2 linked regions of the Coturnix japonica genome follow. The protein of the gene in region 2 purifies or fractionates together with the protein of the main gene of each other region. This does not show direct contact. Links are inferred from orthologs where the notes say so. Each region holds a gene or a part of one and is shown on either strand. Other genes may lie near its edges.

The links.
Region 1: the proteins of NUP107 (region 2) and NUP43 purify together in Homo sapiens (affinity purification with mass spectrometry; 8 studies listed by BioGRID and IntAct, counting the BioPlex papers as one, with this or other methods). This does not show direct contact. The link is inferred for Coturnix japonica from reciprocal best matches to the Homo sapiens genes NUP107 and NUP43.

The regions. Positions count from the first base shown.
Region 1 is NC_029518.1:43,393,419-43,401,372, forward strand, and holds the start of NUP43 (nucleoporin Nup43), read right to left. Parts: upstream 5,017-7,954; 5' UTR 4,971-5,016; coding exon 4,851-4,970; intron 4,733-4,850; coding exon 4,610-4,732; intron 4,349-4,609; coding exon 4,271-4,348; intron 3,513-4,270; coding exon 3,335-3,512; intron 899-3,334; coding exon 763-898; intron 1-762. UniProt on the Homo sapiens protein: Component of the Nup107-160 subcomplex of the nuclear pore complex (NPC). The Nup107-160 subcomplex is required for the assembly of a functional NPC.
Region 2 is NC_029516.1:31,996,930-32,004,216, forward strand, and holds part of NUP107 (nuclear pore complex protein Nup107), read left to right. Parts: intron 1-337; coding exon 338-409; intron 410-896; coding exon 897-985; intron 986-1,834; coding exon 1,835-1,913; intron 1,914-2,561; coding exon 2,562-2,675; intron 2,676-4,130; coding exon 4,131-4,221; intron 4,222-5,150; coding exon 5,151-5,227; intron 5,228-5,633; coding exon 5,634-5,693; intron 5,694-6,390; coding exon 6,391-6,536; intron 6,537-6,651; coding exon 6,652-6,700; intron 6,701-7,287. UniProt on the Homo sapiens protein: Plays a role in the nuclear pore complex (NPC) assembly and/or maintenance. Required for the assembly of peripheral proteins into the NPC. May anchor NUP62 to the NPC. Involved in nephrogenesis.

The DNA of each region.
Region 1 (7,954 bases), on a different chromosome or scaffold from region 2:
GCATTGACCGACAGGGCAACTGTGTCAACTGCAGCCACATGACACCTACTGGAGTGAAGACCTATAGCAGTAACAGGCTGCTATGACTGGAGGGCAGCAGGTTCTGTGTGCTTGGGCACAAGGCACCTACACAACATGCAACAGCTTTGCAAGGATGAGAAAGCCTTGTGTACAAATATTTCAAGTATGCCTACAAGGAGGTAATTCTGATATTCAAGTTATAATTACAGTTGCAACATACGCAGCCAGCTACAGATGGAGACCTGAGTTAAAGAGGGAGATAAGGCGCTAACCAGGTACCAAACCCTAAGCCTATTAACAGCAATGGGAACTATTCCATAAACAACAGGATTTGAATCCAGCTTTGTTTTCTCACAATACCTTAAAAGGCATAAAGTTATCCTTCAGAAACATTTCAAATGGCAGCAATTTTTTATAGGCCTTTTGGAAAAAAACAGATGTATAATTAATCAGCTAAACAGGAAGAAGTGCTTTGCTTTGCTCTTAAAGAATGAACATGCAGATACAATAGTCCTTCAGAGTTAAATCACAAAGCAGACCATTACAGCGTTCAGTCACAGCAGTAATTAAGCAGACTCTGTTTTTGGTACTGAAATACCAAAGCAGTAGAAATATTCCGGGGGGAAAAAAAAAGGTTATTTATCATCCCATAGCCAAGAATGAGGCGGTAACAGGAGAGACTTAAATCAGATATGAAGTAGCATGTGCTTCTCAGTAAGTAGACAAAAATTAAGGTCTTACAAAGAAAATATCTGAGCTGGCTCATTTCTTTGTTGTCTGAAGTCCCATATTTTCAACTGTCCAATTGAATTTACCGTCAAGATCTCAGTCGTGCGAAGGAAAGTCACAGCATGGAGCGTACTGCTATCTGCATTGTCTGCAAGAGAGGTTAGCAAAGCATTAAACTACAAGTTCAGGTAAACCTACAGAACACTTAACTCCATTTAATGAACACTAAACAGCTCTTCTAAAACCAGACTACATTCTCAGGGTCAGAGATGGCCCAGCGTTATGTGAAATTTTAAGTGTTGCAAGAATAACCTTGCTTCCTATAGAAATATTATCTAGACAAACCTGTAAGAAGCTGTGTTTGATTAGATCCAGTTCTTACTGACTCACTTGCTAATCCGTAAGTTTTCTTTCTGGAGTACCTAAGAATAATCAATTAAGCCGAGCCTGTGACTTTCCTGAGAGTTCTCTTTACAAGCTCTCAATCCACAAATACAAGAAAGGCTGCGGAGTTTTTAAGAATGCTCTTCTCCTTTCTGTTTCTCCTACAAGAAGCTGTAATTCTTGCTGAGAACACAGAACAGTGGAACACAGAAGCACTTATTTCAGCAATCGGTGTTTAAAATACTTTCTTCAGGCACTTTCCAAGAGCAGTCATCAATATCATATTCATCCTTAAAGACAAACAGAAACAATGCTTTGTCTGTTAATCTGAACAAATGAGAAAGCCATTTTCCAGGTCTTTTTCTACAGTGCTCCTTCTGATCACAGTTTTCTACAAGTGCCAAGAACAGGTCACAGAACTGACTTGAAACAAGAGGCTTTAGGAGAGACTAAAACAAGCACTGCATCCATATAGAATCACTCTGTGTTATGTAACTCTTTAATCTTGATTATGATGGGGTAACATAAATCTATTTCCACTCCAGCTATTTAAAAACTAAACTAACCCCATCCCAGGCAACTTTAAAGCATCTTCCAACATTTCCTCTTCTCTCCCATTCCAACTTTTAGTCTTAAACCACCTCTAATCAATGAGCTTCTGCTAGTCCTTTCCACTTAAGTCCAAGTAAGATCAACTCACCAAGTCACACATTTGACTGAATTATTTATGGTTCATTTATATTTTATTATTTCTGTTTCCAAAAGGATATTTCTCAGTTAATTCACATCTGATTTATTTTATGCATATGTTCCTGCTGAGCTCAGCACCTCAGTGCAGTCTCAGTTTATGTTACCAGTACAAAGTAATCATTTTTACATAATACCACCAATGAGCACTAAGAAAACTACTGATTGCATCCTGCACATTATTACATCTGAATACAATCATTTGAGCAACTGCTCAGAAAAAAACAGAGATCTGTGAGGACATTTCCCTCCTGAGTCAGCAAAACATTCTGTTCCATTAAACCTGTACCGAAACATTCTGTGCTGGTATCCATTTATAAATGAAAACTTGAAATTAAAATAAACCTTTTTAACTAATTACTTTTTTCCCCTCAGTGCTGAAGAGTTGAAGAGTTACAGGGTTTTGGGTTTTTTTTGCGTGTTACTGATAAAACTCTGCCTTGTGCAACTTCTGTGTTTCTTCCTATGTTTTAAAATGACTTCCTGCAGTTCTCAGAGAGCTTCAGTAAAGAACTGTATGCAATTAATAGGATTTGCTTTGTGTGTGCATGTATACAGCCCTGCACACACAAATACCCCCCTCCAGAAATCCCAGGGAGCTTCATTCCTTAATTGGCTTATCACTGTCTAAGTTCCTTCATCTGTTCAATCTGAAGCAAGATTTCACTTGAGGAGAAACACAGGCAACGTGTCAAACTGAGGTTTCAGGGAGAAAGTTCCATTATCAATAATGCTGTTACTGCGCTTCATATCATTTCTGCTTTTGTTTTCCACATGCTACTCCATGAAGGCAGCAAGATGGAAATGCTGAGAATAAGCTTTGACACCTTCCACAAGCACTTGTTACTCTATTAGATAATTCTATCTCAAGAAACATGAACCCATTTCACTAAGTGAGAGATGACGGCTGTGAGCCATGGCACCTGGTACAACAGGGGACAAATAGTAACTTCTGGCTCCTTGTGCTCCTTTAGAACACACAAATTCTTTTCCACACAAATTGATGGTTTTGAGTATGGATAACACAAGGCTTAAGCTTACTATAAATAATGAATTGAAATGACAGTAGTTACCGACCCCTGCTTATAAACAATTGATGACACGATGCTTCTGGAAATAGAACTATCTCGTGCATTCTATCAGAGCATTTAATGACTCCAGATCAAACAGAAGCATTCTGGGAATGTTAAATCTTAAAACATCTCCACCAGTTAAAACATAACTTACAAACTGAATGCATATAGAAACATATCTGAAACATACTTCAAATACTTGTAAGTCTGGAGGAATGTAGGAATGACCTGGAGGAAATACATTCACCTTGGGATATTGAATTCAGTTCTCAATTGCTTTCCTTTCTGTCACACAATATTTTGGCTAAAATAAATATTCTATTCTATACACCAACCGAGATGTTCCAAACCAAAACATGCTGAGCATTGACTTGACATACCTATAGTCCTCACTGCATCCTTTTGGTCAGCTCTGAAGAGATTAATTCTACCATCTTCTCCGACAGTGACAATTTCTGGGTTGTTGCAGATGACTCCGGTACACGCTGCTCCACCACAAGCTGTGTATTGATCCGCGTGATAATGGGCGTTCTCCCACCGGTGACTGGCAGATAGAGTCTAAGTAGCAACCAGACATGAGATTCTGCTGGTAAATAACGATCCCGATTGAGTAAAGCTTTCGGAATACTCACAAATACTCATACAACTGGAAAGAAGCTCCAGGAAAGCCATAGTACCTCACTGCAATAGGAATCTTCTACATAAATAAGAACCAGAAATCTGAACTTCCTTGGTCTCCCTTCAGTGAGGCACTGTCTGCTCTGAACCATCTCTTTCACACAAGAGAGAGAACTTGGAATTAATAGGATCTATGTCTGAATATGAAGTATCTCTCACTAGACTTAGCCTCCAATCTTTTCCTAGGACAAAGAAATAGAACTTGAGCCTTTACAAAGTGTAAGATCAGATTTAGATTCTGATTGAAGGAAACTCGGTTTATCCTAAGTACCACATGAAACTATTAACAGATGTTAGTCTTTGTTGTGCCATGCAAATAAATAAAAGTACAAGTTCACTCATTCCCACTCCCTGAAATTATTTATTCTCATATATATAACCGCATAAAAACTCAAGTACATTTTTAGTGAGTGGTCTATTGCTTACAACATATTAACAGAACCCAATCTGTCTGGCTCTGGAATCTGATTTATGCTGTGTGTGTCGAAGATGTTTTTCTCCCTGTGCAGGTACAAAACCAAATCTACTTCTAAAATGCTTTGAAGAATTTATTGCTGACTCTGGATGCCTCCTGCTTTTAATTTGAGAAATCTCACGCTGAGATCCAAGGGACCCGCACTGCAGCTGCAGGTGCCTACCTGGTTGTTCTGATGATGCCGGAACACAGTCACGCTTCCTGTTGATGAGGCAACAACAATTCTCTCTTGATCCAAAAACTAAAGAGATTAACAAGCACGTTATGAGTTGATATCAACACCAGGATGGTGATTTTCAATTCAGAGTATTCAGATGTGTGGGTAGGTGCAGTAAAACACCCACAAACTGATACTCATTTAATTTGCCACTCTTCATAACTTTCTTTGTTAAAAGCCACAGAATGACCCGGGTTGGAAGGGACCTCAAGGCTCATGTAGTTCCAACCCCCAAGTCAGCTCCTTGTCACCCCGTTTGCCTCAGATGACGAGCAGCTCCCTCACCTGCATGTCCATCACGTCTCCGTTGTGCCGGATGTCACACAGCAGCTGAGGCTCTCCTTGATATTCCCCATTGAGGTCCGCGCTTCCCGCATCTCCCACAGACCACACGGAGATGCGGTTGTCCTGCAGGGAAACGACACGGCCGCTTTTACCTGTGGGCTGCGGACAAGGACTCCCCGGCGCCTGCGGGGCCCGAGGCGGGGGAGGCAGCGACCCGCCCGGTAAGGCCGTGCCGCGTTACCTCGTTGTCCCAGGAGCCGGTGGCGAAGAGCTCCGGGGGCTGCAGCGCGGCGGCGGGCAGGGGCCGCCATCGGGCCTTGCTGATCTTCTGCGACACGAACCGCGCGCACACCTCCTCCATGGCGCCGCACGGCTCCCGCCGCTGCCACGAGCCGCCTGATTGGCTGCGGCCCGACGGCGAGCGCCGAGGGACAGCGCCGGGAGCGGCGGAGAGCGCGGGCGGGCGGGCGTTCTTTTTCACCTCCAAATAGTACGCGGCCGAACGTTTGTGTATCACAAGCAGGATCCCCAGGGCAGCACTGACAGCCCCGAGGCAGCCGGAGCTCAAGGAGCGTCTGCATGACACGCTCAGACCGAGCTAGGGCGTGAATCCGGGTGGTGCTGCGCAGCGCCAGGCGCTGGGCTCTACGATCCCTTTGGGCCCCTTCCAGCGACTCATCACCAGAGCCATGAACAACTGCTGTGCACAAAGTTCAGGGGTCAGCTGTAAAGCGAGCTCCGCGATGACACGGCCGGGCCCATAGGCCATTCCCACAGGCACCTTCCCACTTCTTGCTGTGTTTTCTCACAGCTCGCACTGCCACTGGTTCTTCTCTTTGCTCAGGAGCGCTTGATGGAAAGCATTTGAAGGGAACTTACTCCCAGGAGGGGAGTAAACTCTTCGAAAGGGCTGACAATAGCAGGACACGGGGAAATGGTTTTAAGTTGAAAGAGGGAAGATTTAGGTTGGATGTTAGGGGGAAGTTCTTCACTAGGAGAGTGGTTAGGCCCTGGAACAGGCTGCCCAGGGAGGTTGTGGGATGCCCCGTCCCTTGGGAGGTGATTCAGAGACCGCAAGGTTTGGACGGGGCACTGGGGCAACCCTGATCTAGTAAAAGTCGTGTCATGTTCTGTTTTGCGGCCGGCTAGCCAGGCAGGGGGTTGGAACTACATGATCCTTGAGGTCCCTTCCAACCCAGGTCATTCTGTGATTCTGTGATTTGGGAAGCACTAAATCGAGTAGGAGGGGCACAGACTGTTTACACTGGGATGGGAAAAAGAAGCAATTTTTCTTCCCTGTCTTGTTTTTTTTTAAGTTTCTTTTGGCAGCACGTTCTGTGTTGGATTTAGGGCTGCTTTGTAGGCCTTTAATCTCCACATTTGATCATTATAAAAGATGGGTACTGTGTTAGCACGTTATTTCAGTATAAGATCAAATTCAATTAAACAAGTGAAAGAGAGAAACAAAGACCACAAGACAAAATGCCTCATCAAGCATTACTCAGGTTGTCAATAAGGACTTTAAGAGCAGACAATGCTGGTTCTGGGCGCTGGGCCCAAACATGCAGCAGAGGCAGAAATGAGTTTGTATGGGTTCACAGAATCACAGAATTATCAAGGTTGGAAAAGATCTAGAAGATCATCCAGTCCAACTATCACCAATACTTCCCAGCTAAATCATATCCCTCAACACAACATCCAGACGTTTCTTGAACACTCCCATGGTCGGTGACTCCACCACCTCCCTGGGCAGTGCATTCCAATGCCTGACTACCCTTTATGAGAAGTAATACTTCCTCATGTCCAGCCTGAATCTCCCCTGCCGCAGCTTAAAACCATTCCCTCTAGTTCTATCACTGATTACACGAGAGAAGAGGCCAACCCCCAGCTCACTACAACCCCCCTTCAGGAAGTTATAGAGAGAGTTATAGGTTGTTCTCATTGTGACTAAAGTTAGGAGTGTGCTAACTTAGGGAAGTGCCTGCTTCAATCTCCTGAACAAGCACAGCTGCCAATGCAGGGCACTGCAGAGCAGATGTAGGAGCAGAGAGCTGGGGCTGTGAGCTCACCCATAGCTCTTGCTTGCCCTGACCTATGGAGGCAGAGTGCAAAATGACCTTCGATGCAAACATCTGAAATGGAAATAGAAAATTAAGGCTGATTTGGGACAACAGGAAGAGAGAAGATGAAGGAGAACGATTCAGTTAAAAACAGAACAGGGGCAGGGAGAGGAATGAGTGTAAGTGTAGAAGCCAATTAGTGTGTGGTTTGGGACATAGCTGCGGAAATGCTCAGCAGCACCATTTCATAAAGAAATCGCTGCTTGCCGTATGTATATGCAGAAGCAGATGGGACCAGACAGTGATGAACAACTTTTCATATGCTTTTGAAATTCAAAGGCTTTCAAAATTCTAATGGGAGCATGAGGTGGGAGGGAAGGGATGAAACAGAAATAGTAGCACGGAAGGGTTTATATATAAATGTACAAGAGATGTGGGTGAATGTGCAGAAAAGGAGAGAGAAGTAATGGGCTGCATGCTAAAAACTACTGGGATCTCCACATCAGAGCAATCACATAATGGCCCGCTACTGGCATCTCCCTGCCCCTTCCTTGGCAGGGCATGGAGGCATTGGGGAGGTAGTTGTACCTCTGGAAGGCAGAGAGGCCTGAAACTGGACATGTGGGGACTGAGGTGTCGATGCTGGTTTGGACAAGTGTATGGGAAATCACAGCTTGAACCTCTGATTAATCAGCTGAGGCAAGTGCTGGGTCAGCTGTGGGAGCACAGGTGAGAGTAATTTAGCTGTGCTCCAGGAAGGGGTGGACCTTGACCACCTCCTCTAAGACCTCATTTAAGGGCTGACCACCACTGAGACAGCATCTCTGGGAGATTGGTCCTCAGTGGAGACTGCCTCAGCTTTCTGGTCAAGACATTGATGTTGGTGAGTTTTCCTTTGCTAATAACCTTTGACTATCTACCATCATCTTTGTTAGCATCTTTATACTAGCCACCCTTACAACAAGCGAGGAGGAAGATGAAGGAATCTTAAGTGTCAGAGCAGATGAAAATGTGCTGACAGACAGAAAACACTTTAAAAAATTATATATATTTTTTAATTAATTATTATTATTCTAGCATAGAACACAGGCATTCTTTCATGGGTTTTTATTGCCAAGCATGCTCTTAATAGGTTTTAATAACAAACTAATGGTCTGGAGCTATACAGCAAAAAATGCAAGTGACTCTCACGGCTGTTTAATGCACAGAAGGGTGCATCATTGATGCACTGTAGTTTTTGTGTCGTTTGAGCCCAATTGGCTTGTCTTAAGTGTTGGTGTTCTTG
Region 2 (7,287 bases):
TGTCTAGTGCTCGTATGAGCTCTGTAAAAATGTCTGGCCTTCTCAACATACAAAGTAGTAAACTGGATTTGTGGTAATGTGAGAGCAGTCAATGGAGTTGATGGATCTACTGTGTAAAATCTTTCTGTGACCACACATTTGAATCGTATTATCAATCTTAGTGTGACAGAAAGTAGAGCATCCAAATAAAACAGATGTGTGGCATCATCTGTTTCTGAAAAAGGACAGGGTAGGGGGTGAATGCCAAGTCAATTTTGGAAGTTAAAAACTGTTCAGATTGATGTTTCTATGGTAAGTTTTCTTTTCCACCAAGTGATGATGAAGTTTTTCTCAATAGGTTTTAAATGCAAGCGAAAAGATGAATGTAGACAACTTGTTTCAGAAAGATGCTCTTGTTCGACAAAGCCAGGTAAGAGAATTTTTGTGGTGAGAACGGAAATAGATGAGTAAACACTTAAATATTTATGAAACTAATGTTACATCAGCTTTAGAAAATATGAGCTCTGTGTATTTTATTAAGCTGTGTCAAGTAACTATTTCTTTATATTCATCTAGGCCTGTGCAGCAATATTGCTCCTTGATTTCTAGAGATCAGAAATATTTCAGGCTGGGCTGGAGAGCATAGAAGGCTGAGAACTGTTCCAATTTGGATCATCTGCAACTGTTGTTACTAATTAAGGAGCTATTAAATAGTGCAGTAGTAACTGCAGCATCTAGTGAGAAATATATCAAGTGCCAAAACAAGCTTCAAACTGGGCACTTAAGTTGAGCTTTTTCTTAGGATATGTACGCCTTGGATTACTGTGTAGATATCAAATAGATTCAGAGATGAGAGAAAGATGGAGTATTATTTATTGTGTGTTTGTTCTAAAAAAAGCTATTGAATTTCATTCCAGCTGGTGGTAGATTGGCTAGAGAGCATCGCCAAGGATGAAATTGGGAACTTCTCTGATAATATTGAGTTTTACGCAAAATCTGTGTATTGGTGAGTTCAGACTTTTGATTGTATCCATGCTTCCTCAATTGTAATATTCACAGAACCAGACACAGAATCAGTCTAGAACCACCTAAGAAGTTGGTCCATTCATTCATTTTTCCTTAAATTCATTGATATGAAAAGTGAGCTACTCCCCAGTTTGGCTATGTCTTCTCAAAAGTCAGATACTGCCTTTGGGAGGAGCAGGTGACAGGAAGGTTGTGAAAACAATTTAATTTAGTTTTACATAGATGACAGTTTAATTTTTCATCAAAAAGACATCAAAAAGATGGTCAGCTGCTGATCAGCAGGTGATAAAACTGTTCTCATGTGTTTCTCTTCTGTGCTCAGTTCTTTGTCTGGCTTTTGAAGTTCGTGTCATCACTTTTTACCATTTATCCTTCACCAAAAGTAATTATTGTCATCTTTATTACCAGCCAAGGATTTTAAGGCAGTAGAGAGCAAAGTCTTCTTGATTCTAGTTCCTATTATAAGCATTGTTTTAAAGACAGGTGAACACAGGCTTCTGGAATCGTGTGTTCATCCTAAGTTGTATTTCTATCCAAGACCGATAATGCTGAACACTAATGGGAAATCTTGTTCATGCAGAAATGGATTAATAGTTCATATACATTGAAAGTGGTTTTGAAAGAAGTCAAAGCCACGTGCATTGATTCCAGTATTGTACTTCTAATGAAATTGTACGATAACACTGTTCATTGATGCACAAACCAAACCAAGCATTCCTTTCTTGTAACCCTATTCCAATTATCCAGAAATATTTTCTAATTTTAATGTCTTATTAAAATGTTTGCTATTAATCCCTTCTTTCTCTCAAAAACATTTCACTGCTCCCAGGGAGAATACGCTACATATCCTGAAGCAGCGACAGTTAAGTACATTCATTGGAAGTTCTCGACCTCTGGTAACAGAATTGGTAAGTGTTATTTAAATATAAGACTTGGTTTTGGGCATAAAAGCCATTCAAAATGCTTTGCACAGAACACATATGCTGTTTTCTAAAAATGGGTGGAACGGGGCAGTTTTTGGTATCTATAAATTGTTGTAGTATCTAAAAATGACAAGGCATTAAGTTGGAAAATCAGTACAGAAATGGTGAAGCAGTAAGGAGGTCGCTGATGAGAGGATATTAGTGAATGCCAAAGTTGGAAGTCGCTGGATGATTAATATAATGATTAAAATTATCAGATCTTGATATATTTGTTTTAAATAGAAGCAAGTACAACTAGTGTGAAAAGGCTGCTGAGAAGCTGGAGGAGTATAGACAGGTAGATTGATAAGCAGAAGGGGAGAGGGCTTTTAAGGTGGGAAGAGCTGGAAGATGAGAGGTTTGAGGCAGAGGCATAGTGATAAATAAGGAGATTACAGTTGATAGGAACAGTGACAGAAGAGGAATAAAGGAAATAAAGACAAGGAAGCATCATGCTAGAGATTATGTGGGCTGTATAACATGTTGTGCCAATATGAAAATGTGACTCTGAATTGTAAAACAGGACAGGAAATCATTGGAAGAGGCGGATACGCATTATTTGAATGGATGGATGGTTCCTTTTTTTCCTTGCAGGATCCAGATGCTCCCATTAGACAGAAACTGCCACTTGATGATTTGGATCGAGAAGACGATGCAAGATTACTGAAGTATCTCTTCACTCTTATCAGAGCAGGGATGACAGATGAGGTAAACCTCAGAAAATGAAAGAATATTCTCGGTTAAGTAGTTTAACTTGTTTAAAACCTTACTATTAAAGCTGTATGATTTGAATGGAGCTGAGGGAAAGTCATGGCATAGCATGTTACCTTTTTTTTTTTAACCTTTACTGTTTGGCCAGGTGTCTTTGTAAGGAAAAACCTCAAATAGACTGTATTGGAATATTCTAGAAAGCATACTATTCTCCATTCACCCTTTTACTATAATTCTGCTTCTTGGCTGCTCTACAGAATATACAATGCGTATACAAGTTGCGCCAGGGCAAGTTTAGGTTGGATATTAGGAAGAACTTCTTTACAGAAAGGGTAGTTAGGTACTGGAATAGGCTCCCCAGGGAGGTGGTTGAATCCCCATCCCTGGATGTGTTTAAGAGCCGTCTGGATGTGATGCTCAGGGATATGATTTAGTGTAGGGTTTTTAGAGTTAGGGTTCTGGTTAGGCTGCAATTGGATTTGATGGTCTTCAAGGTCTTTTCCAACCTGGGTAATTCTATGATTCTATATTTTGCCTTAATCCTTATCTGAGTAACATCTGGCAGTCCTGGTCCTAATGCTGTTCCAAGTAAAGATGTCCAGTTGTGAAGCAGCTTTTGTGATTTAACGTAACTAGCTGTACTGTGGTGTGGTCTGAGCTGGAAGCTCAGTCTTATACCAGGCTCTACAATTATATGACATTTGGAAAATGGAAAGGAAAAGGTACTTCAGATTCCTGTGTCTAAGACCTTAGATTAGAAAGTTGGTCACTTGCTGGTATTCTGTTCCCCTGTCCATTCATTGTTTGATAGTATGGGCACAAGTCCACGTTGCTTCAGAGGGGTATGAATATAAATCTTCAATTTCAGTTGCACTACGGTGTTCCTACTATCTGATAAGCATGGAGTCACTTATTCTCTGTTGAAAGAGTTAAAACCAAGAAACAGCCTTGGTTCCTTTATCTTACGATAGATAAAATATAGTATGTGAGCTTGACCATTGTCATTCCATGCTGTTCAAAATAGCTTCGAATTAAATCTCTTTGTTCTAGTGAGTAGGCTATTGATATCATGGGAAAGTTAGACGTGGTATTTTTAGCAGCACACAAGGGGTTTGGAAAGCTACGTCAATTAGAAAAGTAGGTGAAGAGATGGTTAAGGGATTTAAGCAACAAGGTGGTACTTTAAGCTTGTCAGAAGGACATGGAACAGCTGTTTAAGCCAGAAGGGTGAGACTGTAATGCATCTATCATACTTACAAGTAAGTATTGATAAAAACTTAAACATTTAATGAGAAACACACTGATTACATTTCATTACTTTGAAATTCTTCAGTTATTTTGAGTTTCAGGTTCTTTTTTGCCTAGTGCAATCCCTACACAAATGAATGATTTTAATAACGTTTGCATTTCTTCCCTTGAAGTCGATTGCAGAGAAAATCTATTATTTTTCAGGCCCAGCGCTTATGCAAACGATGCGGTCAGGCCTGGAGAGCTGCAACTTTGGAAGGATGGAAATTGTATCATGATCCCAACATAAATGGAGGTATTTACTTCCATCTGCATTTGAGAACTGTAAAAATAAGCAGAGGGTTTTCTCTTTAGCAAAGAGAATTAGCTCTTTATTTAATACTGAGGGTCTTTCTTGTGCCTAGAATATGTTTTACCATGTCTGTTGATCACATTTAACATGCATGAGATGATTTAATTGAAGGTATGAGTTCACTGAATCCACTTAACATAGTTAAGTCAATTTTTGGGTGTTTTTTTATACAAACATAGCAGCTAGGAAAACAGATGTCTAGGAATTCTGGACAGATCTTCACCACCACCATTCATGTCTCAGTACGTGTTTTCTCTATGTCAGAGAACCTTCTGCCTTCTATAATTATAGAATGGTTTGGGTTGGAAGGGACCTTTAAGACCATCTAGTTCCAACCTCCTGCTGCAGGCAGGGACACCTCGCTCTAGACCAGGTTGCTCACAGCCCTATCCAGCCTGGCCTTGAGTGCTTCCAGGTAGAGGACATCTGCAGCCTCACTGTTCAACCTGTTCCAGTGCCTCACCACTCTTAACAGTTAAGGATTTCTGATATCTGATCTAAATCTTCCCTCTTTCAGTTTAAAGCTATTCCAGTTTAAAGGCACTAAGCCAGCTAGCAAACATTTTATTGCTTATAGACTCCAAGATGGAGTCCATAAGCATTCCAAGATCTCTTGGAAGCCAAGAGATATAATAGGACTAAAGAGCTCTGCAAAGGTAAACGGAGGAAAAATACATGGTTTTATAGTATTTGGACTTTGCTAGATTTAGCAAAGGATTTATGAGCATGTCTGAGTGCTGTGCACACCTGAGACTGGAAGGCATAATGCTTTCCTGCTTTTCAAACCCTGATATCCCATTACTTTTATCTCGACTGGTGTCTTAGCCTTGTTTTGGAGTGTTGTTTTTATTATTATTATCCTTTGCAAACAGGAAACGAGGTCCGGCCTGTTGAAGGGAATCCATACAGATGCATTTGGAAAATATGTTGTTGGCGGATGGCTGAAGAGGTAAGATAATGTTAATTTGCTTGGTAGTCATGTGAAATGTTCAACTTCTTTGAACTATAACATGATTTTAAGTAAGCCTGCCTTCTTGGTTTACTGTCTGTGGGGATTTGCGGTTCATGTTTCTAAGAGGACTTCTGAAATAATATATTTTTCATGTAGATAAAACCTGCCCAATCAGCATCAATCTTTAAGGCTTTGGAAATGTCAGTTTTGTTTAGTTGAGAGTGAAGCTGCTGATGCTGGTTTTCATCTGGGCTCAGCTGAATGGGAAAGGAAAAACCATTGCTTTTCAACTTTTCAAGTGCATGGAACACTTAGTAATGGATTAGTCTCTAATAAAATGTAACTTATCAGGATGTGTTGGTGCTTTTTAACTCATGGGTAATTTTTCAACTGTTTATTTTAGGAGCAATTCAACAGATACGAGAGAGCAATCTATGCAGCACTCAGTGGAAACCTCAAGCAGGTATGTTAGGCCTCCTAGTACATGGTGTTCAGCACTTGTGAATTATTATATGTGATAATAACATCATAAAGACATTCTTCTTAATGTGCTTTCAAAAGCTTAGTAATCATGACAATAGCAATAACAGACATGGTCTGTGCAAGATTTTTCTGCCTTAATTAAATATACTTAATAGACTTTTTTAGTATTATTGTTGCTGACCCTCAGGGCAACCGGTTTTGATTTTGTTGTTTTAGATTTGAAATGTTAGTGTTATCTAAAAGCTTGTGCAGCCACTTTTCTGCCCATGCACCATATTCTGATTTGTCAGTGTAACCAAATTTCACTATTGATAGTTTCAAGTAGTTCTTCTTATGTGTTTGAATCCTCCAGGTATTTTCTGTGCTCTCCTTCTTCTAAGTACCGATGCTTTTTGTACATGTATGTAAATAAATCACTACTTAGGAGAAGGAACTGGATATGAAGTTTTAGCACAAAGACGGCAAATCAGAGAGTCATGGAATTGCTCAGGTTGGAAAAGACCTTAAAGATAATCGAGTCCAACCACAACCCAACCATATGACCCCATCTAACAACCCTCTGCTAAATCATGTCCCTGAGGAAAAAAAACTGATCCTAAGTTACAGTTGGTGTGTTTGGATTCTGATGGTTCTCCATCTCTAACATTTTGCTCTGTTCTGTTGCTTAAAATATGCAGCTTCTTCCAGTTTGTGACACGTGGGAGGACACCGTTTGGGCTTATTTCAGGGTCATGGTGGATACACTCGTGGAGCAGGAAATACGAACATCAGTAGTAAGTGCCGAGGAGGTGGAAGAGCTCCCGAGGGAGTATTTAGAAACCAAGTAAGTTTTAGGTAGCAGTTGTGTTCCTCCCCTCAACAAAGGATCGTTTCACAGTATTAAATGTAATGTTTGTGGTGTGGGGTTTTTTTTTAACCTTCTGTCTTCTACTTTAAAGCTGGACTTCAGAAAAAGTATTTGAAGAACTTCAGGCAACAGACAAGAAGGTATTTATTGCTGACAGTTTCTCCTCACTGTTGGCTATTTTAACTTACACAGTCCTTTGTGCTCCTCTATTTCATCAAACAGTGACTGGCTTTCTGTCCCTGTAATGTATTCTTCATTCAAATAGATTTTTCTGACACCTTTTAATGATGAAGAAGGTGCAGGTTTTGTCTTGTTTCTTATCTGCCAAACTAATTGAATGTGCTGAAGAAACAGCGGAGCACAAATTGCTGTCAGACGTGCAAAGCAGACAATGTAAATCGCATTATTAACACTCTGATAAAATGTGTGAAGAATGATTGCTTGGGGTTTTCTTTGTGGGAGGTTCGCATGTATATTTCAGAGCAGGTCTTTCAAAAGAAGTATGTATATTTTTAGTACACTGTGTTTGTCCTTTCATTTAAGCTGGAATAGATAAATTAGATGTTAATTTTTGTAAAGATTAAATTGAAACTGTATTAGATGGGGTCAAATGAAAAGCTTGCAGATGGAAGCAGCCAGCCAGGTACACTCAGCTGCCGTGGCCTTTCTGGTGCTGTGCTCACCAGCCAGTTTCATGGGTGCATTTGAATTGTGTTTCATGCCTTAG